Stegostoma tigrinum: one gene and its partners. The protein of the gene in region 3 purifies or fractionates together with the protein of the main gene of each other region. This does not show direct contact. Links are inferred from orthologs where the notes say so. Each region holds a gene or a part of one and is shown on either strand. Other genes may lie near its edges.

Region 1 (7,033 bases), on a different chromosome or scaffold from region 3:
GAAGAATGAGAGGACACCTTTTTGAAACACAATATTCTTAGGGAACGTCACATGGTGCATGAGAGGCTGTTTCTCCTTGTGGGAAGAGTGTGGGACTAGGGGGCATAATCTCAGAGTAATGGGATCCCCACTTAAGACAGATGATGAGAAACTATTTCTCTCAAAGGATAGTGAACCAATGGAATTCTTTACTGCAGAGGACAATGGAGGCTATGTTGTTAACTATGTTCATGGCTGAGATAGGCAGATTTCTCTTCAGTAAGGAAGTCAAGAATTGTGAGGATAATGTGAGAAAATAGAGCTAAGTGGGGTTGATTATCACATCAGGGATTTATGTCGAGGAAGAAGACCAAATGTTCTAAATAGCCTGTTGCTGATCCTACATCTTCTGAAGTTGAACCTCATGGTTTTTATGTCTAAGTTCAAGTTGTATCAAGTTTGGCCGGGTTATTCTTGCAGCAAAACCAAGTGAGTTTTCTCATTAAATTGTACTAAACTTAACATGTTAATTGGCATTTCAACCATCACAGCAAAAATCCTGTCAGAATCCATCCCATCTCACCACGGGCTGTTCCATGGAGATCCTCCCTAAGACTAGCATCCCTTGTGGTTGCTCCATTTTCCAAAGCTATCCTGTCAGTCATTGAAGTCAGGAAAAATGTCAGAGAGAGGGAGGCTGGCCACCCTTCTGAGAGAAACCTGGGGGTCTTTGTAGATTGAATGGTCAACAGAACAGCAGTCCTATTCCCAGGTGACCAGCCGAAGAGGCCACACCACCACACCATGCCAGAATGGTCAGAGATCACCAGATAGTCAATGCTTTCTCCAAAATAAGCAGGACTGGCTACAGTGCTGCCGGAAGGTGAACAATCTCCTCTGCTCTGACAGGGTAAGTGTGGTGCTTTGTTCTTCACTACCTTACACTTAGCAGACACCCTTGACTGAGGACTGCTGCACAGCATGGCCACCTGACTGGTTGTGAGACTGTGTCAGCTGTCAATTCAAGGCACTGTACAGTAAGACAAGGAATGCCAGTAGGGACCAGGGTGATTGCACGTGAAGGAAGCAAGGGAGCAGCCATGGACGATAGTTTAGTCTACAGCACGGAATGGGTTCCTGTCTCTCAGAGGTACCTGCATCCAATATAGGTGTACAGTGCTGCCAGTGTGTCCTGGTAGATAAACCTGCATTTGAGAATGCCAGGATGGTGGCAATGGCACCCTGAAAGTCAAGATCTACTGTACACGATGGAAGGGTACATAAGGGTGGTATTGGTGAATTGTGTCCTAAGGTACAGTTTTTCTATGGGCAAAACATAGGTCTTTTGCAGCAAGTAATGAACTGAAGCCATCTAAACCTACTCTGGTCGACTTTTCATGACAGCTAGTTTGTCTGGTAAGATTGCAACTCATTGCTATTGATAAATGATTTAAATAATTTCACCATGTTGTTTGACAAGACTGTACAAGATGCAGTGACCTTAACATTGAGACGGCCCTCAAAATCTCACCCGATTCCAAGAAAGATCTCATCACAGCCTGATAAAATTCAACCAAATTTGGCATTAAAACAGTAATGGAACATTTAGAAGGTCACAGGCAGGTCACATTATTAGAGTTCTGCATTTGTGCACCAGGGCTGATTCCCAAGAATGAAAGAGTTCTATCACAGAATGGTGTAGTACTTGGGCCTTTAGTTATTGGCAACTTTATTGAAACACGTGAAGATTCTAAGGAGATAGTAGGAACTGCAGATGCTGGAGAATCTGAGATAACAAGGTGTAGAGCTGGATGATCACAGCAGGCCAAGCAGCATCAGAGGAACGGGAAGACTGACGTTTCAGAAAATTTTCTGAGGGATCTAGGCCGGAAACGTCAGCCTTGCTGCTTGGCTCGCTGTGTTCATCCAGCTCTACACCGTGTTATCTAAGATTCTAAGGAGGCTTGACCGGGTAAATGCTCAGTGGAAGAATCTGGAAAGGGCGGGGGGGGGGGGATTGTGAAGTTTACTCATGCTTGGATTTTTCTATGGTATAGAGCAATGGAGGCCGGGGCACTAGTATACTGAAGGCTAAATTAGACAAATTAGTAATCTACAAGGGAATAATGTGACATAGGCAAGAATGTGAAATTGAGCATCCAGATCAACAAGATATTACCGAATGGCAGAACTGGTTCGGGTAACCAAAAAAATATCGCAGCCCTGTTCGTCTTTCTAACGGCTCTCATTTGCATGTTCTGCTAATACTCACTTCTCGGCTCTGTTGTGAGCGATGTCACTTTGATAAAACGACCAAGAGTGATCAAAGGCGATGATGGCCTGATGTCTTCTACACGGAAATGAGTTAGCACTACAGTAATAAGTTATAACAGTTGCTTTTTACGCTAGATTTCCAGACTTATTTGTTTCATGAAATATTCATATCTCCGCATGAAGATTGCGCAGTGTGTTCTGCTACATCTTTCAATCATTCCGTAATACTCACAAATTCCGAGTGGTGGACAAGATATTGTCTAGCTCCAAAAGCACAGCGGTTCTTTGTTCATTCAGTTGTGACTCTGAGTCCATATCCCTCTAGTCCCGATAATAGCCTAATTCCCAGATACTGACTCCGGTCTCTGCAACACCTTCTACAGGCCCATTCACTGACAACAAGCGCGCCACTACCCTGGATGCGTGATGGGAATTGTAGTCCTACAACTCTCGCTTCATCCTCGAGAACTACAATTCCCATCATACCGTGCAAACCATCTCCAATACTCACCATGGTAGCAACCGGCCAGTCTGCCAAGCGACGGTGATGAGCAGTTGCTCTGACGAATTAAGAGCGGAGGAATTGGTTTATTCCAATCGGGGTGAGGGAGAAGACGGAATTTTTTGTTGCTGGGCCACTTGGAACGCTAAGTGCGCGCTAAATATTGCATGCTACTGTTGGCAATGGCGGGACGGATAGAGGGATATTGAGTTGTTGTGTAAGCCTTCTGGGTGCCCGCGTTGTGGGATGGTTAGTACCGCCCCTCTGCTTTGTCCTGTTGGTTGGGATTCCCACCGGTCACCTGGTGCTGTGTGTCGGTACGGACACCCGCCCACCTTGAATTAGATGTTTATTCAGCCAGGCTGATCATAGAGGCGCAGGAGTTTGAGGTGTGCAATCACACAAAACAGATAGGAATCCTGCCTGCGCTTGGAGATCATGGCAATTCCAGAGCAAGGCAGTAAATCGGGATTCGTCATCCTGATAGCTCACATCAATATGGCTCTATATTCCACTTGCTTCTGGATCCAGACTGGGGTCGTGCCTGTGAGTAGTAATCTGCCTTTTACTGATAAATGATAAGTTAAAATGTAGTGGAGTGCCCTCGATTGCGTAATGTTCGGAGCTTGTCATATTAAGAACGACAATTTAAAGAAGTCTGCTGAATCACGAAACGTTAGAATTGCCTTGTGTGGTCTCATTCTAAACTTCCTTATCTTTAATGTTTCATGATTGAACGGACTGTCTAAGCTGCAAAGAATTTAATAACGTTTTTAAACCTGGGCACTGATCGTTGCACGAGCAGGAAGTACCGCGAAGTTTATTGAGTAATGCATCAAGAAGTGATTGAAATTTATGTAATAGTGTAGTAAACCAAGCTGTTCGACCTATCGTTCTTGAACCGGCTCTTTGAAGCAACTAGCTAATTGAACACACTCCTCCCCACTCCTGTTTTATTTCTTACCACACAGTTTTCCTCTTCCCCCCCCTAACTGCACCTTGTAAATTATTATTCATCGGCACATTATTCCAAACAAGGCATTCCAGGTCGTAACAATTGTTACACAACGTGGGAGGAAATTATTGCTAAAAATGCTGGAGATCACAGCCGGTCAGTCAGCATCAGAACGTTAGTTTGCTATCTCGCCACGAATTCTGCCTGACCGGCTGTAATCTCCAGAATTTTTTTTTTGTTTTCAGTAACAATTGTTAACTTGGTTGAAAAGAAATCTCAGTTCTATGAGAAAATTAAAAAGAAAATTAGCGGATGTTGAAACAAAAACTTGCTGAACAAACTCGGGTCTTTTTTTCTCCACAGATGTTGCCAGACCTACTGAGTTTGCCCGGCAATTTCGTTGCTTCCTTCAGTGCTCCTTTTGGTTCTTTTGCCGATTGCCATGCTCTCTTTGAGAATTTCGCTGTCATTTCTGAGACTTATTTTATTGTAAGTTTTTACACTGCCAACGTTAGGTCGATGGGCTCTCGCATTGCAGGTCTAGTGATAATGGGAACTGCGGATGCTGGAGAATCCAAAATAACAAAGTGTGGAGCTGGATGAACACAGCAGGTCCAGCAGCACAAAAGCTGAGATGCTGCTTGGCCTGCTGTGTTCATCCAGCTCCACGCATTGCAGGTCTGTTCCCTTCCCATGTTTTGATTAATGACGTAATCTTTTTAACACCCCAGTCTTCTAGCACGTCCTCCATACCCAAGGAAAATTGGAATTTCTGGTGAGGATCTCTGCAAGTTATATTTTGTTTCTTTCAGTTGCCTGCAGGAGCGAAAGTAGCCCATTCAGCCTCTCGAGCCAGCTCTGTCATGTAATAAGATCACAGTTGATTTGACTGCAATCTTAAATCCACTTTCCAGCCTATCCCTGATAGTCTTTCACCCTCTTGCCAGCAAGACTCTACCTACCCCGGCTTAAAAATCTTTATGGACTCTGCTTCCATTGCCTCTCCAAAGACTGGTGACTCTGGGGGGGAAAGATGCTTCATCTGTTTTAACTGACTGACCACCTATGTTTAAACAGTGACTCCTAGTTTTAGATTCTCCCACCAGAAGAAACATCTCTACAACTACTCTGTCAAGTCCTTTCAAGATCTTGTATGTTTTGATCAAGTTGCCTCTGTCTTGTAAACTCCACTGGATAAAAGCCTAGCCAGCCAATATTTTCTCATTAGACAACCTGCTCATTCCAGGCACTGTACTGCAACGGGTCTAGTAACGGCTGCTCTCTGGTTTGTACCAGAATGTGCTGTTCTAAGAATTTATCCCCTAAAATATTCTATGACCTGTTCTTGGCTTCGTCTGCCTCTGTGACTTTTCTAGTCTGTATCTAGATTAAAATTTTCTGTGATTGATGCTGTGCTTTTTGGACATAGTTGTCATAATTGATGTAGTTAATATTAGGAGGCCTGTACAACAATCACGCAAGTGACATCTTGCCTTTACCATCCTTCATCTCTTGCCAAACCATTTTCACATCTTAAAATTGGTTATCCCTGTCTATTACCATCATTAGCTAACAGAGTCATTAGCTAACAGAGATACCAATCTTGCAGCCATCTCTCTGGCTGTCAGATTGTATCTATTTTGTGTGCATTTGCAGTTCAATTTCTGTTTATTTATTGAAAATTGTGTGCATTAGATAGTGTGTTTAGTTTTATGCATGTTTCTAATCTCCAGCCTTATCTGTTAATTCACTGTTAGATTTGTAGTCTCTACCATTTCTTGAAGAAGCCTATTTATCCTTTCTAAAACTGATATCATTTTTGTGTCGTGAGTTCATTGATCTAGATATATCCAAATTTGATCCCTTCCTCATCATTTTTTTAAGCACAAATTACTCTCTACTTCCCTAGTTACATGGCTCAAATAACATCAACCCAGTATGGTTCAGGTGGTTACCCTGAAGTGCTGATACTACTTTCCCCAATATTGATGCCAGCTTCCCATAGACTAGAACCCACTTGTCTGACATCACTCTGAGCCATGCATTCATCTTCTAATCTGATTTGTCTTGTACCACTTTGTATGAGGTTAAGGTAATTCAGATAATCAGATCCCTAAACAAAATGACTTTTCTGAAACAAACATAAACCAAACTAACTGGAGAAACTTAGCAGGTTTGGCAGCATCTGCTGAGAGAGAGGCGCAGTTAATGTTTCAAGTCCAATGACCATTGATCAGACTAATTTGTTCTAAAGAAGGGTCACTGGTTCTGAAAAGTTGACTGCTTTTTTCCTCCACAGATGCTGCCTGACCTCCTGAGTTTCTCCAGCTATTTCTGTTGTTCACACCAAGATGACTTTTCTACTTCGAGTACTGTCGACCTTTTAGTACTTCTGCTCTATCTACTTCTCTACTACCTCCACCTTTGACGTCAATAGTACTATTTGTGATGACAGATGGAAAGGCTTCAGAAATCAGAATAAGGGCCCTGAACTGAAATGTCAACTGTCCTGCTGTTGTGATGCAGCCTGGCCTGCTGAGTTCCTCCAGCTCCACAGTGTTATCTCTGACTCCAGTATCTGCAGTTTTTCTGAAGAAGAGTCTGGGCCTGAAATGTCAGCCTTCCTGCTCCTCTAATGCTGCTTGGCCTGCTGCGTTCATCCAGCTCTACACCTTGTTATCTCTACTTTAAAGGTAGCCTGTGTATCATAAAGCCAGGGAGGTGATGGCCTAGTGGCGTTATCGCTGGATTGTTAATCCAGAGACCCAGAAAACATTCCAAATCCTGCCACCGCAGATGGTGGAATTTGAAGTCAATAAATATCTGAAATTAAGAATCTAATGATGACAATGGATCCATTGTAAATTGTCAGGAAAAGCCCTTCTGGTAATGTCCTTTAGGGAAGGAAACTGCCTTACCTGGTCGGGCCTACATGTGACTCCTGGCTCACAGCAAAGTGGTTGATGCTTAACTGCCGTCTGGGCAATAAATGCTGCCTAGCCAATGACACCTTCATCTCGTGAATGAATAAAGAAAAAAAACACCTCTTCAATTGGCAGAGAAGAATGAGAGATGAAGAAAGACACCTTAGTAACTGCATAAACAGAACAGAGAGAGATTCTGTGATTTCAAATATGACACTGGAGACCTTATTACTAGAGACTGAACTGTGAGATATTAAGGAGACAGTGAAAACAGTCCTGAAGAAGGTCACTGGACTCAAAACATTAACTTTTTCTCTCTACAGATACTGAAGACCTGCTGAGTTTCTTCAGTATTTTCTGTTCTTGTAACCTCTGAAGCAGTGAGAGTGGACAGACATG
Region 2 (7,445 bases), about 35 Mb from region 3:
TCCTAAACATTTGTCCAGTTCAGTCAGATTCTCTCTTATCTGCTCTCTTTCTTCTTCCGAAACTGCAACTGAAACTATTTCTTCTTCCTTCTTGTCCCATCGCTTCACTAGAACTTCCTTCTGTTTTATATGAAAGAAACAACCCGTGCGTGGTCCTGTTATCCGAATATCTCTGCTGTTCACAGGGCTGCAATGCATAAAATGGATTCCCGGTGGGATCATCTTCACTCCTTTAAATTTGGGGCCCACTTGCCAACAATTATAATCAATGCCAAATTCTGTGCCCTCAGGAACACCAAGTATTATAAGCGTGCCTCCTTCAAAGAACAGTTTTTTCGCCAGTTCTTGATCCATTTCCACAGTAGCCATATTTTGGGCCTGTATTCCAAAACAGACAGAGAAGAACTTAGTTAAACATCACATCAACATCCAATTTACGTAAACTACTAAGATCTTACATTATAGAGAACTACGGCCATTAACGGCATTCAATATTGCTTGTTACATAGCACCTTAAGTTACCACTATTATGAGCTGGCATTAATTTTGCTTTAGGCAATTTTTTATTTTCATAATTCTCAATTCCACACTTTAAAGTAATCCTACCCATTTTGTTCCACAACCTTCATTCACACATGGTTACCTCAAAAATGAATTTCTTTCAGCTGGCCTCTCTTCACAAAATTAATCTAGTATAAATTAGCTCCTGCGCCACATAAATAGCATCTTATCCATTTTAACCTCACCAGATCCCTGCCACTTTCTATCTTACCTAATGGATTTTGTCCCTTTATCAAATTCTTCCAAAGCTTTCCTCCAGCCTGCTTGGGAAATATCCACTAATTCAATATCCTTGCCCACATCATTTGCTCCCTACCTAGATTCTTGTTCATTCCCCACACTCCTCACAGTAGATCAGTGATGGCTTTTGTTTACTCTGAAACTCCTTTGCCATTCAGATTCTTTTTCTAAATCAGTCTCAATTATTCCCACCTTTCATCTTTAAAGCATCCTTTGAAAACTTAATGAATCAAACAATGCCTTTGGTTAGGCCAAAGCTGATCCCATTTCAAATTCCTTAACAAGTTGTTTTGAATCCATAGCTCTATCAGCACTAAGATGCTGCAGCATAACTGCACAAAGGCTGCATGTGCGTGTAAGATGTGATTCAATTCCTAGGGACAACATTCTGAATAACTTTACAGGCAGAGGCATTAAGCAATCTGACATGCTTCAATCTGTTCTTTTACACAAGAATGAAGATCATCAATAAATTAAAACCGACATTTTTGTGAAGATAAATGAACTACATAGACTGTGAAAAAAACATTATACTTTGGTTAAAAGTTCTATCAAAATTGCTACTGCTCACTGATGCCAAAATCATTTCAACAAATGGCTAGCTACTTGCTTAGAGTACTTATGCAATTAACTAACTAGGAAAGACCATAGTCACTTGCATGTTTATTCCTCTCAGGCAGTTTGCTGAGAAAGGTCAGGTAAATTGCAACCATGAAAACAGAATACATACATTCATTGATATTATTAAGAAAGCATAAACGCAACTGCTAAAACACACAACCAAATTATCAAAGACTTTATGAAGTGCTACAGGGCATACAAGTAGTAGATTTTGCCAAGCCAAAGGCAATAAAATTCCACAGAAAAATATCCTGATGTTGAATTAGGTAGCAAAAACCTATCATAGTTGTGCAAGCATTTAATTACAAACCTATAGTTTAACACCAACAGTTCTTTATCCAGAAACCAACTATCCACTTTAAGATGATAACATGAAGGAGAAGTAGGCCATTCAGCCCATCAAGTCTGCACCATCATTCAACAAGACCATGGCTGATCTGATAATTCTCAGCTCCACTTTTCTGCCTTTTCTCCATAAGGTATGAAAAACCAAGCTTTTTGTTGAAAAAAAATCAATCTGTTCAGATATGTTAATGACACATCTCAGGCAGTTGAGCCTTGAACCCAAGCCACCTAGCCCAGAGATACAGACACTACACTTTGAACACAGGACCCGTAATAAGAATCCAAGCTCTTCTTTTAATATCTGGAATTATCACAGACAACTGAATGTTTTTCTTTCCCACCACCAAATCACCTGTGAGACCTTCCACCCAATATCCACCATCCCTAAGTTATCCTTGTTTCCAGTTATTCATTCAATGTGGACCACCAAAGGTGAGACTGGTAGAGAAAGACCGAGAGGCTAAAAGAACTAAGCTCTTAAAGACAAAGAACACCTACTGTCTCAATGTACTCTAGAGTTATTTCAGTTTGCCCCTTAAATGGACCTGCATTTCTAACGCTATCAAATAAGACCTGACTCACGATATTATTCACAATGTGGCAAGCCCTAAAAATAACAGCAATTTAAAAGAAATACAGTAATTTAAAAATTCAAACTAAAGCAGGGGGTTTAAGGGAACAAATTAAAATATTTTGGCCATATTGTTAGGATGAATAAGACTGAACATGTCCAACAACTGACTGGATACTCCCACTATCATCACTGGCTAGAGTCTGGGAAAAGGAAAGAATAGATTAGCTCAGACATTTATGCTGAATCTGAGTTTGCAATTAAAACTAAATCCCTCAATCTAGTAACAAGAAGATAATCTGGAGCTGTACGAATTGTTATGAATTTCTTGTGTTTTTCTTAAAGTCACTATTTATGACCTTTATTACAGTCTATTATGCTGTAAAGGTTTAGTGAAAGCTGTGTCTAATGCAGTTGATGTTAGGCGCCTCCCCTCCCTCACACCCACCTCTCACATTCTTTCCCCCCTCACCCACAGACAGACAGACAGACAGACAGACAGACAGAGAGAGAGAGAGAGAGAGAGAGAGAGAGAATTTGAACCCCATTCACCTTCGTTCATTCAGCCCTGAGCTTTAATTCCCTGCGATACCAACCGGCAGACTGCTGGAGCAACACCAAATACATACCGGACCCCTTCCGGTCCGTCAATGTAACCGTCCCCAGCCGCACCAGCACAAACCGGTCCCTGAGCTTATGGTTCCGCCCCTGACACTGCCCTCACTCTCAGCTCATGCAGACCTTCCAAGTCAATTCGTTTCTACAAGGAATGAAGGTGATGTTCTATTCAGCGCCTTAACCCCATTGTAAACCAAACTATTTAATCTATTGAATGGAAATAAAGTTTTTTTTTGTTTTATTATCTTCCCCCCATGGAAACCACTCGTTCAAAGTTCTCTCCAGGCAAAGTATTATTGCACTAAGTCTTTTATTTGAAGGTAATATGGTAATATTGAATAAATAACGAATACACTTCTCAGGAAGAAGAATATTGCAGCATAATGGTTGAAAAACTCCTTTAATGTAACACCTCAACAGCCTGTATCCAGGATATTTAACACACAGTCCTGGCCTTCCTTCTGCCAGGTCACTGTTACTGCCACAACACCACGATTCCACATGACAGCCTGCACTTGTAACTCACCGATCTTTACTTAAACCAGCTCTTCCTCCCAATTCTGATACCGACAAACTTCATAGACGTGCCTATTTTCCCTGTTGATTGTCCCTATATTGTAAGCTCCTCAGAGCTAAGCTCTTCCTTCAGGCAGAAGATACAGAACCCCGAACACACACAGCAGATTAAAGAATATCTTCAGCCCTGCTGGTATTTGACTGCTGAATGGACCTCTTTAATTTCAAATCTAATGTTGTCCTTACTTTTGTGCACCTTTGAGCAGTTGTAACTCTAAGCGCCCTATGATTCATTTGTCCTTCTTTGTTACGATCTGCCTGTACTGCTTGCAAAACAAATCTTTTCACTGTAATCAGGTCCATGTGACAGTAATAAATAAAATGCTTGGGATATTGCTTTAATCCAATCTCGACACCGCAGTTGTTAAATTATTGAGAGTGCCAGATTGTGGCGGGCATTAATGATAGGAAAATTCTAGACAAATCACCTGAATATGTCCAAATGAAAACTTGTGACCCATTTGCTGCAAAAAATCAAAATAGATTGTGTTCTCTGTTAGGGCCTTTCAAAGAACCTACCACTTTACTGGTGTTGCTGTTTGCACAACCTGACTAGCTTTTGATCTTCCATAGGTCTTGTCCATCCTAGAGTGGCTGATCATGTCTGACCCTACATCAATGTATGGAGAATGTCAGTATACTGTTGGTCAGCATGCTGCACCAACATTGAATCCAATCAAGGATAACAAGGTGTAGAGCTGGATGAACACAGCAGGCCAAGCAGTATTAGAGGATCAGGAAGGCTGACGTTTCAGGCATCATCCTCCAACACATCCGCCATTTGCAATCCGACCCCATCACCAAAGACATTTTTCCCTCCCTACCCTTACCTGCTTTCCGGAGAGACCACTCTCTCCGTGACTCCCTTGTCCTCTACACACTCCCCTCCACCCCCACCACACACGGCACTATTCTCTGCAACCGCAAGAAGTGCTACACCTCCCCCCTCACCCCCCGTCCCAGGCCCCAAGCAGACTTCCCACATCAAGCAGATGTTCACCTGCACATCTGCCAATGTGGTATATTGCATCTCCTGTACCCGTTGTGGCCTCCTCTACAACAGGAAAACCAAACAGAGGCTTAGGGACTGCTTTGCAGAGCACCTACGCTCGGTTCACACTAAACAACTGCACCTGCCAGTCACAAACCATTTCAACTCTTCCCCCTCCCACTTCTCAAACCACATGTCCATCCTGGGCCTCCTGCAATGCCACAACAATTGCAGGAAGAGCAACTCATATTCCACTTGGAACCCCTGAAGCTCAATGGTATCAATGTGGACTTCACAAGCTTCAAAATCTCCCCTTCTCCTATCGCATCCCAAAACCAGCCCAGCTTGTCCCCACCTCCCTAACCTGTTCTTCCTCGCACCTATCCCCTCCTCCCAGCTCAAGCCCCACCCCCATCTCCTACCTACTAATCTCATCCTGACCCCTTGACCTGTCCGTCCACCCTGGACTGCCCTTTCCCCTCCCTAACTCCCCATCGACAGTCACCTTTACTGCCTCCATCCCTGCATCTTTGACCTGTCTGTCTCCTCTCCACCTATTTTCTCCTCTATCCATTTTCTATCCACCTCCCCCTCTCTCCCTATTTATTTCAGAACTCCCTTCCACTCCCCCATTTCTGAAGAAGGGTGTTGACCCGAAACGTCAGCTTTCCCGCTCCTCTGATGCTGCTTGGCCTGCTGTGTTCATCCAGTTCTACACCTTGTTATCTCAGATTCTCCAGCATCTGCAGTTCCTACTATCTCTGAATCCAATCGACACTGACACGACAATTTCTGCCCCATCATCTTCAGTTCTTCAGCTGAAATTCCACTTTGTGTTCTTGCAGGTCTTAACTGGTTTGTAATGTGAACATGCATTTCAGCTTTCTCAACAACATGTCAGGACTTTGCACAGGATTGATTTCAAGATTTCAGAAGAACAAAGTAAACATTTGAAAAGATATTCACTCTTACTATCTTATTGTTTTTTTCAAATTTTCTAAATAATCTTGGGCAGTTTATTTTTTGCATTATGGCCTGTCTTTAATTGGTTTATTTAACAATTGGCATTAACACAGAATAGCTGAAGTATTAATGCCTTATTCAGGACAATTAACAATTATGTCACAATTATTGTTTGGTCCAAATAAAGCATGCAGTATTAATAGACTTCAATGGATTAATGGAAAATCTTAATTTTAATAAACCATTATGTCCACAATTTGTTATATACCCCAACATAGATGTTTTGTGTAATGAAAGGGAGAATCAAGCTCAAATAAAAGAGCCTTATGAAACATTTTCATGAACCTGTAATAATCCCTAATATCTCTTTAATGTATTGGGATGGATGCTGTTATCAGCAGTGCAAAGCTGGTAGCACTTATGTTGCCAGTGCTCCCGGTCATTTGCTTGAGTAGTCTGAATACAAGGCAAGCATAACATAAACTATCTTAGAGGGTCTCTTGTGGTACATTGGTAGTATCCGTATAACTATGCCCAGAAGGTCCGATTTCAACACCTACCACAAAAGGCGTCTCATAAAACATCCAGAGATAGTGGGAACTGCAAATGCTGGAGAATCCAAGATAACAAAGTGTGAAGCTGGATGAACACAGCAGGCCAAGCAGCATCTCAGGAGCACAAAAGCTGACGTTTCAGAAGGGTCTAGGCCCGAAACGTCAGCGTTTGTGCTCCTGAGATGCTGCTTGGCCTGCTGTGTTCATTCAGCTTCACACTTTGTTAACATAAAACATCCAAACCGGTTGATTTTAAAATAAAACCATCTTGGGTGCAAAGGCTGTATTTGTGGCACTGCCACCACTAGGTGGAGGATTGCACCTGCATTTGTAAAATTAGAGCACCTCTTGTTGGGATCACTGTATCCCTCCCCCTCTGAATCTAAGGACATAGGCCAGTTCATTTTTTTGTAGCTTCTCCTGAGGCATTTTAGCGCCAGGTCAGGTTCCACTGACTCTGTCTTAGATACAGGTGGCATGTGATGCACAGTAACACGCCTCTTGGGCCTGGAGAACCTTGGAAGAAATTTACTCTCCTATTGAGGCAGCAAAGACTTTGAGGTGGTGATATCCACCTTATCCATCTCAGATTCCGAAGAATCTTCAATGCTTGATGGACAGGGAGAATCTGTGGGTTCCTCCAGCCTTTCTGCCTGTTCCCAGGAGGCAGGCACATCTTGCTCCGTTTTTGAGTTTGCAGCTTTCATACAGTCCCCATATGTTTGTTCAGGACTGTTGCACCTGCCCAAAGTTTACACATCACTGGACCTGACCTTGCATCGACCATGCCGCTTACCAGTGCAGGACCAATCCTGTATCTCCTACTCCAAACTTCATCACCTGAGGTAAACTTCCTCTCTCGCTTAGCAGAGTCATGTGTCCAGCGCTAACATTCCTGATGTCATTTCACCCTCCCTCCCGGATCCGGGTGAATCAAATTTAACCTGGTATGGAGTCATTTTCCCATTTGCAACTCTGCTGGAGCTATCACTGTAGTTGCCTGAGGGGTAGACTTATAATGAAATAGAACAGGAACAGTTTGGTATTAAAACAGGCTAATATATCTGCCAGTGGGAGGCAGCTCAATGCACCCGCATTTGCAACTTCGCCTCCTGGTCAGTGTTCCAACTTGTAATTATATGCACTTAGTATTAGAGCCTAATGCCGAATTCAGCCTGAAGCTTTGGGCGGCACTGCCTTGTCCTGTTTGTTAGACCTACCAGGGGTTTGTGGTCTATTATTATTAGAACCTTACTTCAGTAAAGGTATTGGTGGATCTTCCTGACACCAAGTATGTCCGCCAAAGCTTCCTTCTCTAGTTGGGCATATTTAAGCTCTACATTAGCCAAAGTCCTGGATGTACATACTATTGGCCGTTCCTCTCTGTTGGGCAACCTATGAGCTA
Region 3 (7,983 bases):
ATGAGAGACTTTAGTTACATGGTCAACTGGGGACCTGTAGATTTTCTCCATAATGCAATTGGGGAGATGCTCAAATTCAAGGATTTTGAAAAGTGTAAATAAATAGATGCTATTTTTGGCAGAATGGTCAGTAATCAAAATGCACAATACCAAAATTGAAGAATCAGACATGAAACAATGAATTTCATTCCTCCAACACAGCACATTATTCTGGTTTGGAATACTTTGCCTGAGGATGCTGGAAACATTTTCAAATGGTACTTTTCCAAAGCGAACTGGATAACAATTTCAAAAACATCTGCGCAGCTTATACAGGGTCACATGTTTATTATCCTTCCTTATACCAGGCAAAGGAATAAACTGCATAACCTTTCAAGCCTGCTCAACTATTCAATATGATTGTGGCTTACCTTCTACTCAACCCCACTGTCTCATCCACCACCCATAACACTTAACTCTCCAAGAAATCTAAATTAAGTCTGTCCCAATCTTAAATATATGTGTAGTCCAGTTTACCAATCTCATTTCACAGAAACAAAATATAGGTGCAGCCCATTCAGCCTTTCAAACCTGCTCCAATCAGTATAATCTTGGCTGATTGCTTCAGTACCTTGTTCCCACTTTCTTTTCATACTCTGATCCCTTTAGTCCTAAGAACTATACCTATATCTGTCTTGAAGGTTTTCGATGTTTTGGTCTTAACTGTCTTCGGAGACAGAATTCCACAGGCTGACCACTCTCTGGGTGAAGACTTCATCTGGTCTCAGTCCTAAATGTCTTACGCTGTATTCTCAACTAGTGACTCCCTGGATGCTCTGGTCAACAAGAACATCCTTCCTGTATCTGCCCTGTATAATCCTGTCAGATTTTTATATTTTTCTAGATGATCCCTCATTGTAGTGACTATAATCCTAACCAATCCAGTCTCTCCCTGTATGTCAGTCCTGCCATCCCAGGAATGAGCCTTCTTTGCAGTACCTCAACAGCCAGAACATCCTTCGTCAGATAAGGAGATAAAACTGCACACAATACTCCTTGTGTTGTCTTACCAATGTTCTGTACATTTGCAGAAAGACATGCGTGGTTCCATACTTGACTGTTCTCACAATGAAGGCCAACATACCATTTGCCTTCTTCACTGCATTCTTAGTTTCAGTGATTGGTGTACAAGTACAGAGTTTACCCACTTCGCCAATTCATCACCATTCAGATAATAATCTACCCTTCCTGTTTTTGCTATCAAAGTGATAACTTATTGGCCCACATTCTACTACATTTGCCCAAAACACATTGAAGCATCTCTACATGCTTCTCACATCATACTCTACAATCTAGCTTTGTGTCATCTGCAAACTTGGAGATTTGACAACTTCCTCTCTAAATCATTAATATATATATTGTTAATATGAATCATTAATATATTGCATGATCATCCCAGGAGTAAGTCTTGGTGGATTTTTTTGTTGCACACGATGGCAATATTATCTTTCCTGTGATAAGTACCCCAGGTTTGATCTAACCAAGCTCCTCCACAATTAAACCAACACTTCACTATTCCTACACTCCCACAAACTTTACTAGCCTTGCTAATAACTCACTGCATCTACAGGCTAGCTTTTACTGATTTATCAATAAGGGTTCCTAATCCATTTGTACACTTACACTTTCCACTCTCTTACCGTTTAACAAATAGACTGTTACACCCACCAAAATGGAAAACCTTACATTTTTCCACATTACATCCCATGTGCCATGATTAGCCCATTGTGCAAATCCTCCTGAAATCAACTCACAATAAACATTCCACCTTAGCTTTGCATCGTCTGTAATTTTGGAAATATTCCCTTTGGTTACCAACTCTACATCATTGATATATATTATAAGCTCAGGCCCAAGTACTGATCCTGGTGGTAACCCTACTAGTCATAAGCTACCAATGAGAGAATGACTTGATTTACTCTCTTTTCTTCCTTTTAGTCATTAATCTATGCTAGTAGTTACTTCCTATCCCAAGTGCTTTAACTTTTCTAACTAACCTATTGCCCAACCTAATCATTATCAATCAGGTTAATAAAATGTGAGGCTGGATGAACACAGCAGGCCAAGCAGCATCTCAGGTGCTCCTGAGATGCTGCTTGGCCTGCTGTGTTCATCCAGCCTCACATTTTATTATCTTGGAATTCTCCAGCATCTGCAGTTCCCATTATCTCTCATTATCAATCAGGTGTCTATTTAATAAATCCCATCCCTAATGACAGATTCTAGTATTTACCTACCACTGATACAAAGCTGACAGGTCTGCAGTTCAGTTTTCTCCCTTGTTCCCTTCTAAAATAGTGGGGTGACATTTGGAATCATTCCAGAGTCAAAAGAAACTAGGAAAATAATAACCAAAATAGCAACTCTCTCTACAGACACCTCCTCCAACAAGTTGATGAAGCATCCAAAACTCATTGCAGGTCAGAATTCCATAAACTGTTAAGTGAAGAAATTTCTCATCAGTCCCAAGTTATTGGGCCCTTGTCCAGAGACTGTGTTTAGTTTCGAGCCAAATTTACATTTCTATCTTTACTCAGTTCTGGCGAAAAGTTATGTTGACCCGAGGCGATAAGTCCCTTCACAAATGCGGCCAGTCCTGCTGAGGTTCTAGGTTTGCATTTCAGAGTTGCAGCGACTGCAGTAATTTTGATGGGAACTCGCCCTCGGCTGCAGAGCAGCCTCGATAACCCGCGTAGCCTGTTCGCTCAGACCCCTGCTGCACCAACCTCGCTGGGTTTGGGAAACCCCAGCTTTGAGAGCCTCCCCACCCCTCACCTGGAACTCAGATCCTCTGGGTCACTCGGTTCCTCCACCAGATACGGGTCATCCTGCTCCTGGCGGTTCATGTTGGAGCCCGGGCCCGCCCCTCTCCTTTCACCCGAGCCCCGGGCCCGCTCCAAGGCCTCACTCGAATCGGGATTATCGACGCTGCCGTTGGACCCCCTAGGTCGCGTCACTAAAACGCGCCGCAAGGAGAGGGGCCTGAGTTACTTTTGGCGCTGACATATTACGCAATGAGCTTTCTGCACTAGACGCCGCCCTCTCCACTGACCCTCGTCCGTTGCAGTGAGACGGCCACCTGTTCTGGCTCCATCCATGTGCTGATCTTGGCCCCTGTCTTGCCCCTGCCCAGCCACTCGCCCGGTTCCCTGTCCTGGTAGCCCTAAGCCTTTGCCCGTCGCCAAGCCCCATTGATGAAACCAGCGCTGTCAATCTCAAACTGCGTCTGTGGTAACACTTTCAAGAGGAACAGAATCAAGAACAAGGGAAACTGTGGACTGATTAACTACTGAATCTAACCAGAAAACTATTTAAAAACAACAGGAAAGTGATAGGAAGGTACAGAAGCAGTAATGGAATATAAAAAAAACAGTGGACTGTTTCAGCCGAAGCATGTGGTCCACAACAATCACTGGAACTGGATTCAGAAACTTGCACAATGTGATGTATCGGGGGAGGTAAATTGTCAGAATACTCTGTTCCAGGAAGCAACCACATATTTTAGGCTACATAATTTAGATTTGACTTGTAGTGCAGGGACAGATAGGTGTGACTGTAAGAGAAGCAGATGCTACTTTGATTGCCGTCGTTTAAGAATTCCTTGACAGACTTTTCAGCACTTTATTATCCTTGTCCTGTAACTTCATGTGTTGCTGTTTCCACATTAACACTGCATCATCAGTTAGCTGTGCCATTATGTGACTGGTTTGCTTAGTTTTTGGCCATTTAACCAGGAAGCCAGATTTGAAAGGGTAAAAGAGAAACTCCAAATTGAAAAGAGAGGGACCCAGAGCTGAAAGGGAGGAGAGAGATAGTGAAACCCAACATTTAAAAAGAGAGAGATAATAGGAACTGCAGATGCTGGAGAATTCCAAGATAATAAAATGTGAGGCTGGATGAACACAGCAGGCCAAGCAGCATCTCAGGAGCACAAAAGCTGACGTTTCGGGCCTAGACCGAAGGGTCACAGTTTATTATATTTAAAAAGAGAGACCCAAAATTGAAAAGAATAGAACTAAACAGAAGGCTAAATCTGGAGGACACTAAAATGAAGCACCCATTCCGTAAGACCACAAGGCCATAAGATATAGGAGTGGAAGTAAGGCCATTCGGCCCATCAAGTCCACTCCACCATTTAAATCATGGCTGATGGGAATTTCAACTCCACTTCCCTGCACTCTCCCTGTAGCTCTTGATTCCTTGTGAGATCAAGAATTTATCAATCTCTGCCTTGAAGGCATCTAACGTCCCGGCCTCCACTGCACTCCATGGCAATGAATTCCACAAGCCCACCACTCTCTGGCTGAAGAAATGTTGTGTCATTTCAGTTTTAAATTTTCCCCCTCTAATTTTAAGGCTGTGCCCACGGGTCCTAGTCTTCCCGCCTAACGGAAACAACTTCCCAGCGTCCACCCTTTCTAAGCCATACATTATCTTGTAAGTTTCTATTAGATCTCCCCTCAACCTTCTAAACTCTCATGAGTACAATCCCAGGATCCTTAGCCGTTCATCATACGCTAAACCTACCATTCCAGGGATCATCTGTGTGAATCTCTGCTGGACATGCTCCAGGGCTAGTATGTCCTTCCTGAGGTGTGGGGCCCAAATTGGACACAGTATTCTAAATGGGGCCTAACTAGAGCCTTATAAAGCCTCAGAAGCACTTCTCTGCTTTTATATTCCAACCCTCTTGAGATAAACGACAACATTACATTCGCTTTCTTAATTACGGACTCTACCTGCAATGTTCTATGTTCTAAGACAGAAACTCAGAATTGAAAAAGAGAAAGAAAGAGAAACCCAGTGTTGAAATGAGAAGGTGCGAGTTCCAGCATCAAAATGGGAGAGAAACCCAGTGTTGAAGTAGAGAAAGAAAGACAGGGTACAGAAAGAAAAAGAATAAATATGAGCTACAAACATCCGTTGGTATTGAGCCTGAAAGAGCAGGAAGAACAACACCCAAAAATAACAGGTATCATTGATAGTGAGGAACGTTATCAAAATTGCAGAGGGATCTTGATCAGGTGGGGAAGTGGGTTGAAGATTGGCAAATGCAATAAAATACAGAAGTGTGAAGTGTGGCACTTTGGAAAGTCAAACCACGTTAGGATTTATTCACTAAATGGAATAAAGTAAATGCGTATATGGAATAAAAACAAAGTTGCTGGAAAAGCTCAGCAGGTCTGGCAGCATCTGTGGAGAAGAAAACAGAGTTAGCGTTTTGGGTCTGGTGACCCTTCCTCAGAACTTGTATGGAATATAACGTAAATGTCAGAGGAAGTGGTTGAGACAGGTACAAAAACAACATCCTGCCCCACTGATGTCAACTCCATTTTCTCCCCCTTGGTCCAGGAACTGCCCACCTACGTCCATGACACCACCCACGCTCTCCATCTCCTCCAGAACTTCCAATTCCCCGGTCCCCAACACCACATTTTCACTATGGACATCCAGTTCCTATACGCCTGCATTCCACATGCAGATAGCCTAAAGGCCGTCTGCTTCCTCCTGGCCCGGAGACCCGACCAGTCCCCCTCCACCGACACCCTCATCCACCTACCGAACTCGTCCTCACCCTCAACGTCTCTTTTGATTCCTCCCACTTCCTACAGACGAAGGGGGTGGCCATGGGTACCCGCATGGGCCCAAGCTATGCCTGCCTCTTTGTAGGTTACGTGGAACAGTTCCTCTTCCGCACCTACACTGGCCCCAAACCCCACCTCTCCTCTGTTACATTGATGACTGTATTGGCGCCGCCTCGTGCTCCCAAGAGGAGCTCAAACAGTTCATCCACTTCACCAACACCTTCCACCCCAACCTCAAGTTCACCTGGGCCATCTCCAACACATCCCTCACCTTCCTGGACCTCTCTGCCTCTATCTCAGGCAACCACCTACAAACCAATGTCCATTTCAAGCCCACCGACTCCTACAGCTACCTAGAACACACCTCCTCCCACCCACCCTCCTGCAAAAATTCCATCCCCTATTCCCAATTCCTTCACTTCCGCCACATCTGGTCCCAGGATGAGGCATTCCGCACCCGTACATCCCAAATGTCCTCGTTCTTCAAGGACCGCAACCCTCCCCCCGCCCCCGCAATAACCGCCAAAAGAGAATCCCCTAGTCCTCACATATCACCCCACCAACCTCCGGATACAACACATCATCCTCCGACACTTCTGCCATCTACAATCCGATCTCACCACTCTCCACGAGAGACCACTCTCTCTGCAACTCCCTTGTCCGCTCCACATCCCCTCCAACCCCACCACATCACCACTTCCCCCTGCAACCGCAGGAAGTGCTACACCTGCCCCCACACCTCTTTCACCCCCATCCCAGACCCCAAGATGACTTTCGACATCAAGCAGATGTTCACCTGCACGTCCGCCAATGTGGTATACTGCATCCGCTGTACATGGTGTGGCTCTCTCTACATTGGGGAAACCAAGCAGAGGCTTGGGGACCGCTTTGTCGAACACCTACGCTCGTTCACAATAAACAACTGCACCTCCCAGTTGTGAACCATTTCAACTCCCCCTCCATTCCTTCAACGACATGTCCATCCTGGGCCTCCTGCAGTGCCATAATGATGCCACCCATAGATTGCAGGAACAGCAACTCATATTCCACTTGGGAACCCTGCAGCCCAATGGTATCAATGTGGATTTCGCCAGCTTCAAAATCTCCCTTGGCCCCACTGCATCCCAAAACCAGCCCAGCTCGTCCCCGCCTGCCTAACCTGTTCTTCCTCTCACCTATCCCCTCCTCCCACCTCAAGCTGCACCTCCATTTCCTATCTACTAACCTTATCCTGCCCCCTTGACCTGTCCGTCCTCCCTGGACTGACCTATCCCCTCCCTACCTCCCCACCCATACTCGCCTCTCGACCTATCTTCTCTATCCATCTTCGGTCTGTCTCCCACTCTCTCCGTATTTATTTCAGAATCCTCTCCCCATCCCCCTTTTCTGATGAAGGGTCTAGACCCGAAAAGTCAGCTCTTGTGTGCTCCTAAGATGCTGCTTGGCCTGCTGTATGCATCCAGCTCCACACTTTGTTATCTCAGATTCTCCAGCATCTACAGTTCCCATTATCTCTGTACAAAACATTCAGATGGGAAGGATTTAGAGGGATATGGACCAAATGCAGTCCTGAGGAGTGTTGTGGAACAGAGGGACCTAGGAATACAAGTTGAAAGTGGTATCACAGGTGGACAGGATGGTGAGGAAGACTTTTAGCATGCTGGCCTTTATCGGTCGAGGCATTGAGTATAGGAGTTGGGACATTATGTTACTATGGTATAAGTTGTTGGTGAGGCTGCCCTTATGGTCACCCTGTTATAGGAAAGGCAGTGTTAAACTGGAAAGTGTGCAAAGAAGATTTACAAGGATGTTAGAGATAACGGGAACTGCAGACGCTGGACAATTCCAAAGTCGCTAGGTTGTACATGCTCAAAATCCGCAACAAGGTCCATACCGAGACAGCAACCTTGAGACGTTACCTCCTGCCTTACATGGAGTTGAGACCGGTTACCCCTCCCAGAGGGCCTGAAACGTCAGCTTTTGTGCTCCTGGGATGCTGCTTGGCCTGCTGTGTTCATCCAGCCTCACATTTTGTTGTCTTTACAAGGATGTTGCCAGGACTAGTAGGCCTGAGTTGTAGGGAGAGTTTGGCCAGGATAGGACTTTATTCCTAGGAATGTCAGAGAATGAGGGCTGACTTACTGAGTGTATAAAATCATGAGGGGGATAGATAGGATGCATGCATATAGTCTTTTCCCCAGTGATGGGGAATTGAAAACAAGAGGGCATAGTTTTAAGGTGACAGGGGAAAGATTTAAGGAGGACCTGAGGGGAGGCACGGTGGCTCAGTGGTTAGCACTGCAGCCTCACAGCACCAGGGATCTGGATTCGATTCCAGCCTTGGGCGACTGTCTGTGTG
Region 4 (7,856 bases), on a different chromosome or scaffold from region 3:
CTATACCTTGCCACTAAGTTTGGGAACTCTTTGGTGATTTGTTGAATGAGGTAGACAATCAACCATTCGTCATCCACATTATCACCAAAGTTTGTGACACCACCAACGTGAGCCGGAACATCTCCTAAAAAGAAAAGATTTGCATTAGCCTCTTAAAATTTAAGCAATGGTACATTAAATCGGCTTAGATCAGCAGGGTTTAGACTCAAAACAAAAACAACTCCTGATAAATCAGAGTACAAGTCATAGCAAAGGCATAATCACAAGAATTTACAAATGACAGAACATTGTTCAATTCACTGTCACACAAGCTTAGTTCAGGAGCTCAGATTATAAGTTTCTTTCATCTCTGTACCGTTGTATATTTGTCTAAAATGAGGCAGAATTTTCATCTCTCTTTGACACCACAGTGTGGAGGCCATTCAGCCATTGTCTACGCTGAACCATCAAAGAGCATCGCACCCAAATGCAGCTCTCCAACCTATCCCTGTAACTCCTCATTTATCAAAGCTAAGCCACCTAGCCTCTACATTCCTAGACATTACAGGGCAATTTAGCATGGCAAATCTACTCAACTTGTACATCTTTGGACTGCAAGTGGCAACCAAAGCATCTGGAGCAATGAGACACATACAGATACAGGGAGAATGTGCAAATTTCACACAGACATTTGTTCAAAGATGGAATCGAACCTGGGTCCCTGGCACTGTGAGGCAACAGTGTTAACCACTAGCCACCATGCCATCCTAACTTACTTGTCATCACTTACTTTAGGGCTTTTGTGGGATAGTGGTAACATTCCTATCTCTGGGTGAAAAAGTCCAGGTTCAAGACCCACTTGCACCAGACGGGTCATAACATGTCTGAAAGGTTAATTAAAAACATCTGTAATCCCATGGATAGCACCAGCTTCCTTGTGCAGTAACTGCAGCAAGACAACCATCACATGTTCAAAGGCTTGACACGCAGATTGTTGCCACAACAGGGGTCGTTCTCATTGAGTGATGTCTCTACAGTGTCCCCGCCCATCACCAAACCTCCACACACTGTTCACTTGACAGCTTAGATGGAAAATTCTGAAGGAATTTCTATTGTAGTTAACTTCCTATGGGAATCTTTAGAAAATGTTTTTGAGATGTAAAAGCTGATTATTACTTATCCCTCTAAGTTGGTGCCTCCTTGAACACCTGCAGTCCATATTGTGCAGTTCTCTCACAGTGCTGTTAGGGAAGAAGCTCTACAATCTTGACTTAACGGTACTGTAATTCAGAAAACTTGCAAATGGCAATGTTCCCAAGTCATCTTAGTCCCAGAGGATAGTAAGGTGCTCTCTCATCTGAGGGAGAGAGCTGTTGGTGACATTAACCTGAGGGTCACCATGCCTCAGATAAGATTGCCCAACCACTGGGACCTAATGACAACCTCAGCTGAAACTGAAAATGTACCTACATTGTTGGCTCACTTTGCATCATAAACTACTGGTTTGCTAAACTAACTGACTCCCTACCATTCATCACTGCGCTGGTTCCAGATAGTAGAGATACTGGGTTTGGAAGGTTCCATTGGGAGAGCACAGATGGATTGATACTGTCCATCTTGTAGATGATTCACATTGGTACTGCTGTCACTGTGGATAGAGGGAGTAAGTGTTGAAGGCAGTGAATGAGCGTACAGACCCCACCTATACTCTCTCCACCTATCTTCTTTTCTCTCCATCTTCAGTCCACCTCCCCCTCTCTCCCTATTTATTCCAGTTCCCTCTCCCCATCCCCCTCTCTGATGAAGGGTCTAGGCCCGAAACGTCAGCTTTTGTGCTCCTGAGATGCTGCTTGGCCTGCTGTGTTCATCCAGCCTCACATTTTATTATCTTGGAATTCTCCAGCATCTGCAGTTCCCATTATCTCTCTCTCCTCTACAGACATTCATGTTGGTTAGCTCTGTTGGACAAATGGCTGTTTGCTATCTTGAGCGATGCCAACAGCACAGCTTCAATTCCCTAACTAGCTGAGTTTACAACGAAGGAGTCTTCATATCAATGTCTCCCTTTGCATGGGGCATGGTGACCTCAGGTTAAACCAACTACAGCACAAATGCAGCTCCGTCCACATTTCACATCAGCTCCATTGAAGAGTCATCGAGACTCGAATCGTTAGCTGCTCTCTCCATGGATGCTGCCTGAGCCACTGCGATCTCCAACATCTGTTGTCTTCAAACCACTACCACCCTATGGTCCCGTAGGTCTATGGCAACTTTATTTTATAATAAATATAATTCACATTTAAAGATAGTAAGAACTGTTGATGCTGGAGTCTGAGATAACAGTGTGGAGTTGGAGGAGCACAGCAGGCCAGGCAGCAGAGGAGCAGGAAAGCTGACGTTTCGGAACGGGATCCTTCTTCAGAAAAAGACCCTTTTTCCGAGTCCCCTGCCTGGCCTGCTGTGCTCCTCCAACTACACACTGCGCTAATTCACATTTCTGTGGCTCTGCATCCTAGCACGTGTATGGAATTGTACCATTAAGCGTGACCTAATTACATTTATCACCATTTGATATCAGATTTAATGATATAACTTCTAACAATGATATAACGAGAAGTGCTCAGGCACAGAGCCACAAACTGGCTTGCACGGGAAGAAAGGCATGCGTGGATACCAGAGGGGGCCGTGTACTCACCCCGGGCCGGCGTGTATTGCAGCCTGAAGGCCTCATTGTGCCAGATGTAACCGGCACAGAGCGGGGCCAGGCTGCCGACGATCTTCTCCAACTGCTGCTCCAACCGGGCCCGGGGATCGGGATCAGACTGAAGAGCCTCGCCGCCAATCTCATAAAGCCTGTAGCCGACTGTGTCCTGCGGCCAGTCACGACGCCGCTCATCTACCAGCGACTCCATGGCCCGTCAGCCCTCACTTAATGCCTTCTCCCACCCGGGACCGGGTCTGTCACCTAACGGCTTTCCCCCCGACCTGGAACGTCACTGAACGGCTTCCCCCACCGACCGGGTCCGTCACTTAATGGCTTCCTCTAGAATGCGATCACGTGGTCCGTCTCAGTGACGCCACTCTGTCACTGACGTCGCGATGTTGTTCAAATTAAGTAACGTGATGTTTTAGTCTTAAACCTTGCTTAAAAATAAAACCAAAGTTTTACCGGGTTGTTATCAGTTGCCGACTACGGTAGAGAGGACAGTTCTGTTGAGGAAGAAGGTGGGGATGTCTGAGCTGTGTGTGGGAGATGGAACAACCGCCAAGTGAACCTCACCTCATCCTAACAACATCATGTCGGGATGTGGTCTCTGTTTCTGTCCAGTATGCAACATTGTGCAGCAAAGTTCTCGACCAACCTACACCATCTTGTGCTTATCAATTTACTCTGGGCAATTTACAGGCAATAGAAATATTAACCAATTGAACATTTTCTTGATGGAGCGCATGTCATAGGTGGAAGGAGTATTTGTAATGTCAGGACTGCAGACCCTGTCCACTAGTTATTTGCATTTTATTTATGGACTAGGTGTGGCCACTGGACCTTTATTAATTTTAATAGTTATTTTATTGTACTTGTGTAAAGTAATTTCCTTAAGTTTTACCTGCAGCTATGTATCTACTTTTCCTATGTATAATCTCTGAACTCTGCTCTTGCCTCTTAAAGCATAGAGCAAAATTTAGACCCTCATGCATTTGTTAAACATGGAGGCTAAAAGGTCTGTTGTTCTTATGGCATTTGTCACGGTGATATGTAGCCAGGGAACATCTTCAGGTAAGAAATTCATCAGAGTTCTAAATGGTGAATTAGAATGCAGTGATTTGATTGTAATGTTCAAATTGCAACTCTGGCCTGTCAACCAGAAATTCTCCTGGATAAAAGCCAAAGACATGAACATAATCACAAATCCTTTGTAGACAACCATTACTATGTTTATATTTTAGCTGGGTACCTGGATTGAGGTAGAGACAAACTGCAGATGCTGGAAAAACACAGCAAGCCAGGCAGCATCTGGAGGAAAAGAGAAGTCAACATTTTCGTCATTATCCTTCTTCAGGATTGAATGTGGGAGTGGGGGTAGCTGCAGATAAAGGTGGGGGGAGGTGAGAGGGTAGCGGAATGGTGGTGATAGGTGGACACTGGTAGTAGGCATGGTATGGTTGGTTGATGGGAGTGCTGAATCCGGTTGGTAGCTGGAAGGGAGAGTTGGCATGTGGAATAGAGAGGAGGTAGTGGGGCTGGAAAGGAGGCTTGGGGATGGGTTGGAAGGTTATTTGAAATTAGAGAATGAATATTAAGTCTTCCGGGCTGAAGGGTGGCCGGGTGGAAGATAAGGTGTTGTTCCTCTAATCTGAGCTCTGATTCACTGCGACACTGGAGGAGGCTGAGGATGGACATGTCGGAGGGGAAGAGGGTGGATTGAAATGGGCGGTTCCTGGGAAGTTAGGCTTGCCGTTTCAGGCCAGGCAGAGATGCTCGGTGAAACAGTCACCGAGTCTATGTTTGGTTTCACCAAAATTGGGAGCACCAGATGCGGTAGACTAGGCTGGAGGTGATACAGGTGAAAACTGTCTCACCTGGAAGGATTGTTTAGGGCCCTGGATAGAGACGAGGGATGTGGTATGTGGGCAGGGTGTTGCACCTTTTATGGTTACAGGGAAAGATACGGGGGTCGGCGGGGAGTGGGTGGTGTTGGAGTGGTTGGTGGGGAATGTGGCATGAACTAAGAAGTGGCAAAGGGAATGATCTTTGCAGAAGGCAGAGAGGGTTTGGGAGTGGAAAGTGTCTACCTAATGCCACCATACCCCTATCACCATCCCCCTTATCTGCACCTCCTCCAACCCCCATATCCAATCCTGAAGAAGGGTAATACCCAAAACGTTGACTTCTCCATTCCTCCACATGCTGCCTGGCTTGCTGTGTTCTTCCAGCCTCCTGTTAGTCTATCTGGATTAAGGTGGATATGCCTGTTATGTGGCATTGAACTTGAACATCAAAATGTTGCAAGGTGTGCTGTTTAGTTTCTACAATGCTGAAAGCTAATGTTTATAAGATTGCTTAGAAAAAAACATGTTGGCTTAGTCAACTGAGAAGAGAATATATTACTTAGAATATATGTGTGTGAAAATCTTTGTTTTGCAGAGAGACAAGCACTTAAGTAATTGAACCATGTTAGTGTGTGATCACTCCACATTCAGGCGGATCATGACATGCTCACATATTTTGTGATAATTGAGAAGAACCCAAATCCACTGCTGCCAGTTGTTTATTGATGAGTTACTGTCTTTATACCTTGCAGGGATTGAGCATGATTTGGTGTTGAGTCAAGTCTCCGGTGGTATGCTGCTGATAGGCGATTAGAACCTAGTTGAATTTTTGTGAAATGTGACTTAAACATTAACCTGCCATAATGCAAAAAAAAAGTTTACCTCGTTAGGGTAACAGGACACCAATAAATTATCAGGGACTGATTCTTGTGCGGGCAGCATTGGCAATCCTCCAGGAGAAATGGTAAAAATTCATTAGAAGCACACTGACAAAGACAGAGTGTCTAATAAAACTTCTCTCAAAGAAGAAAAATCAGCAGGAGTGATGAATGAACTACATGTAAGGAATAATAGCCACAGATCAAAATAAATAGTTAGTTGGAGGACGATAAATGGGCTATGATAGTTGATTTTTACTTTTTGAATCTGTAATTTAAACATACTTTACATTTCCCTTCTTGCGTAAAGGTTGTCTGTGAAATGCATTGTTTTGTAGCAAAGAACAGTACAAATGTTGTCATTGCTACTCTCAAATTTGCTGATAAGCACACTGTTGAAGTAGGTGGTAAAAATAATTGTTGCATTAATTAGCAGCTGAAACAGTGCATCCAGCTTATTGACAACCAGAAACAAAAAGTATTTATATTTATATAGCACATTTCCATAATCTCAGGATACCTCGAATTATCTATTGAGATGCTTGCACACTAAGTAGCTGCTTTGAAAACATTATGCCCCAATATTTTATCTTTAACATCGACCATGGATAGTTTTAGAACATAAATAACAGCACCTTCGACCCCTCAGGTTTGTGTTTTACAGCCACTTTTGAGGTGTAGACTTGCTCAGTAGCTATTTCACTTGTGCATATAAACTGGCGCCTATTTAAACTATGGTATGGTTGAGTTAGAAGATATGACCTTATACTTTTTCATGCTGTAAATAAGTGTTAGATTGAGTAAATAAAGATTAGATCATGTGTTATCTTTTGTCAAGTAGCTTTTTTAAAAATCGAACAGCAATTGAACTACATTGGACTGTTTAATGCGGCTTGAGCTTCTTATCTCAATATTAAAGGGATAGTGCTTACCATCTGAGCAAAGCCTGACATTTAGGTTTGAGAATGTTATTGACACTAAGGGCTGAAACAGCTCCCTTCTGCCTCACAATGGGTTTGGTTACCATTATTGCTGGTGTAAGAGATTTTCGAATGGATTTGTAATGGGCTATTTAAAGGGACAATGCATTTAAATAATTTGCGTCTGTATAAGCTAAAAGTTGTTTTATATAATATAGTTGTTATTGGAGTTCAGAGAATTGTTGGAACAGAGAAAGGGACGCGATTCCTTGGGTTAAGAAATCATAGTATGGAAGAGGTAGAGTCAGCATTGAGGGAGACAGGAATAATGGTCGCAATAATAATTATACGTGTTTGAAATGTTATGGCTCAAATGTATTTACTGTCTCCATTTTAAGCCACTAGTAATTGTATCAAAGAGTCAATTCTGCCTGATGCAGCAGATTCTGTTCGCCGCCTTGTGCAATATTTTGAAGGTTGCAGATTTTTAAGTTCGAAAGATTTCAAGCAGACTGTGAACTAATGGTCACCCTTGTAAACAGTGCATAACAAAAAACACAAAGTAATATTGACTCTTTGCTCTTGCACATACTCCCTTCTACTCCTTTATGCACTAATGTAAAATATAGCTTACTTATTGCCCATTCTACAGTTGTGGGGATAAGAAAATGTCTTCTGTTCTTAAGAACACTGAAAGACCTGTTGTCTACTCCTGATTATTCTATTTTAATTTATAGCTGAGATCACACTGGGGAATTAAAGTTCAATATCTTTATATAATGAAACAAAACTGGGCCACCTTAGACTGAGGGCAAAGAGAACATGAATACAGCTTTCACCTTGATATGTTTGAATCTTGCATGTTGTCTGCTGTAAGAATCCATGGTTAAGACTGGTCTTCCCTAGCTTCCAGCTGAAGGATGACATGCTGATGAAAGGAAATGGAAACACAACGAAAGGAGAAGTGACACTTTGCGTTTCTTTTACTTCCTGGTAGCCGCAGAACTACAGATCAATCAAGCCTTGATTACTCTGCATAACACCTTGAGCCAACACAATGTCAGCGTTCTCTACTTGTCTGAATATTGCTACAAGGTAAGAAGGTGTTCACCAGTGCATTTTAACCATAACATCTATTTAAGGTAATATCTATGTGGAGCATTTACCTAGCTAGCAGTGATTTCTTAGAGCAGAAAATTGCTTTCTGAAGTGACATGGACTACCATTTAATGTATTTGGGCTACATTTCACCTTGCACTGTTTTAGACAGTCTGTAACTCATGTAATGTTTGGAAATCCTACCTATAATATGTATTGGAAATAATCTGTTACTTAGACAGACCTTCAACTACCCCACCAATATGCCAGCCAATGAGTTGGGACACAAAGTTTTCATTTATTCATAAACTACTGCAAAATGAATCTCTAATGCAAATGTTTGAACTGACAGTGTGTCTGAACTCATGAACAAAACTGTAGACATCAAAGTCTCCGATACGGTCCAATGGTTCTATTTTAAAATAATGTG

What was found.
Region 1: the proteins of eapp (region 3) and tssc4 purify together in Homo sapiens (affinity purification with mass spectrometry; 3 studies listed by BioGRID and IntAct, counting the BioPlex papers as one, with this or other methods). This does not show direct contact. The link is inferred for Stegostoma tigrinum from reciprocal best matches to the Homo sapiens genes EAPP and TSSC4.
Region 2: the proteins of eapp (region 3) and aar2 purify together in Homo sapiens (affinity purification with mass spectrometry; 4 studies listed by BioGRID and IntAct, counting the BioPlex papers as one, with this or other methods). This does not show direct contact. The link is inferred for Stegostoma tigrinum from reciprocal best matches to the Homo sapiens genes EAPP and AAR2.
Region 4: the proteins of eapp (region 3) and ecd purify together in Homo sapiens (affinity purification with mass spectrometry; 3 studies listed by BioGRID and IntAct, counting the BioPlex papers as one, with this or other methods). This does not show direct contact. The link is inferred for Stegostoma tigrinum from reciprocal best matches to the Homo sapiens genes EAPP and ECD.

The regions. Positions count from the first base shown.
Region 1 is NC_081370.1:15,501,713-15,508,745, reverse strand, and holds the start of tssc4 (U5 small nuclear ribonucleoprotein TSSC4), read right to left. Parts: upstream 3,002-7,033; 5' UTR 2,765-3,001; exon of another isoform or gene 2,741-2,764; intron 2,695-2,740; exon of another isoform or gene 2,486-2,694; intron 1-2,485. Other genes in the region: slc22a18 (solute carrier family 22 member 18), read left to right, coding at 3,194-3,301, 4,074-4,199. UniProt on the Homo sapiens protein: Protein associated with the U5 snRNP, during its maturation and its post-splicing recycling and which is required for spliceosomal tri-snRNP complex assembly in the nucleus.
Region 2 is NC_081372.1:22,483,175-22,490,619, forward strand, and holds the start of aar2 (protein AAR2 homolog), read right to left. Parts: upstream 3,005-7,445; 5' UTR 2,891-3,004; intron 379-2,890; 5' UTR 370-378; coding exon 1-369. UniProt on the Homo sapiens protein: Component of the U5 snRNP complex that is required for spliceosome assembly and for pre-mRNA splicing.
Region 3 is NC_081372.1:57,947,227-57,955,209, forward strand, and holds the start of eapp (E2F-associated phosphoprotein), read right to left. Parts: upstream 3,014-7,983; 5' UTR 2,886-3,013; coding exon 2,815-2,885; intron 1-2,814. UniProt on the Homo sapiens protein: May play an important role in the fine-tuning of both major E2F1 activities, the regulation of the cell-cycle and the induction of apoptosis. Promotes S-phase entry, and inhibits p14(ARP) expression.
Region 4 is NC_081390.1:21,631,339-21,639,194, reverse strand, and holds the start of ecd (protein ecdysoneless homolog), read right to left. Parts: upstream 3,012-7,856; 5' UTR 2,892-3,011; coding exon 2,675-2,891; intron 125-2,674; coding exon 7-124; intron 1-6. UniProt on the Homo sapiens protein: Regulator of p53/TP53 stability and function. Inhibits MDM2-mediated degradation of p53/TP53 possibly by cooperating in part with TXNIP. May be involved transcriptional regulation. In vitro has intrinsic transactivation activity enhanced by EP300.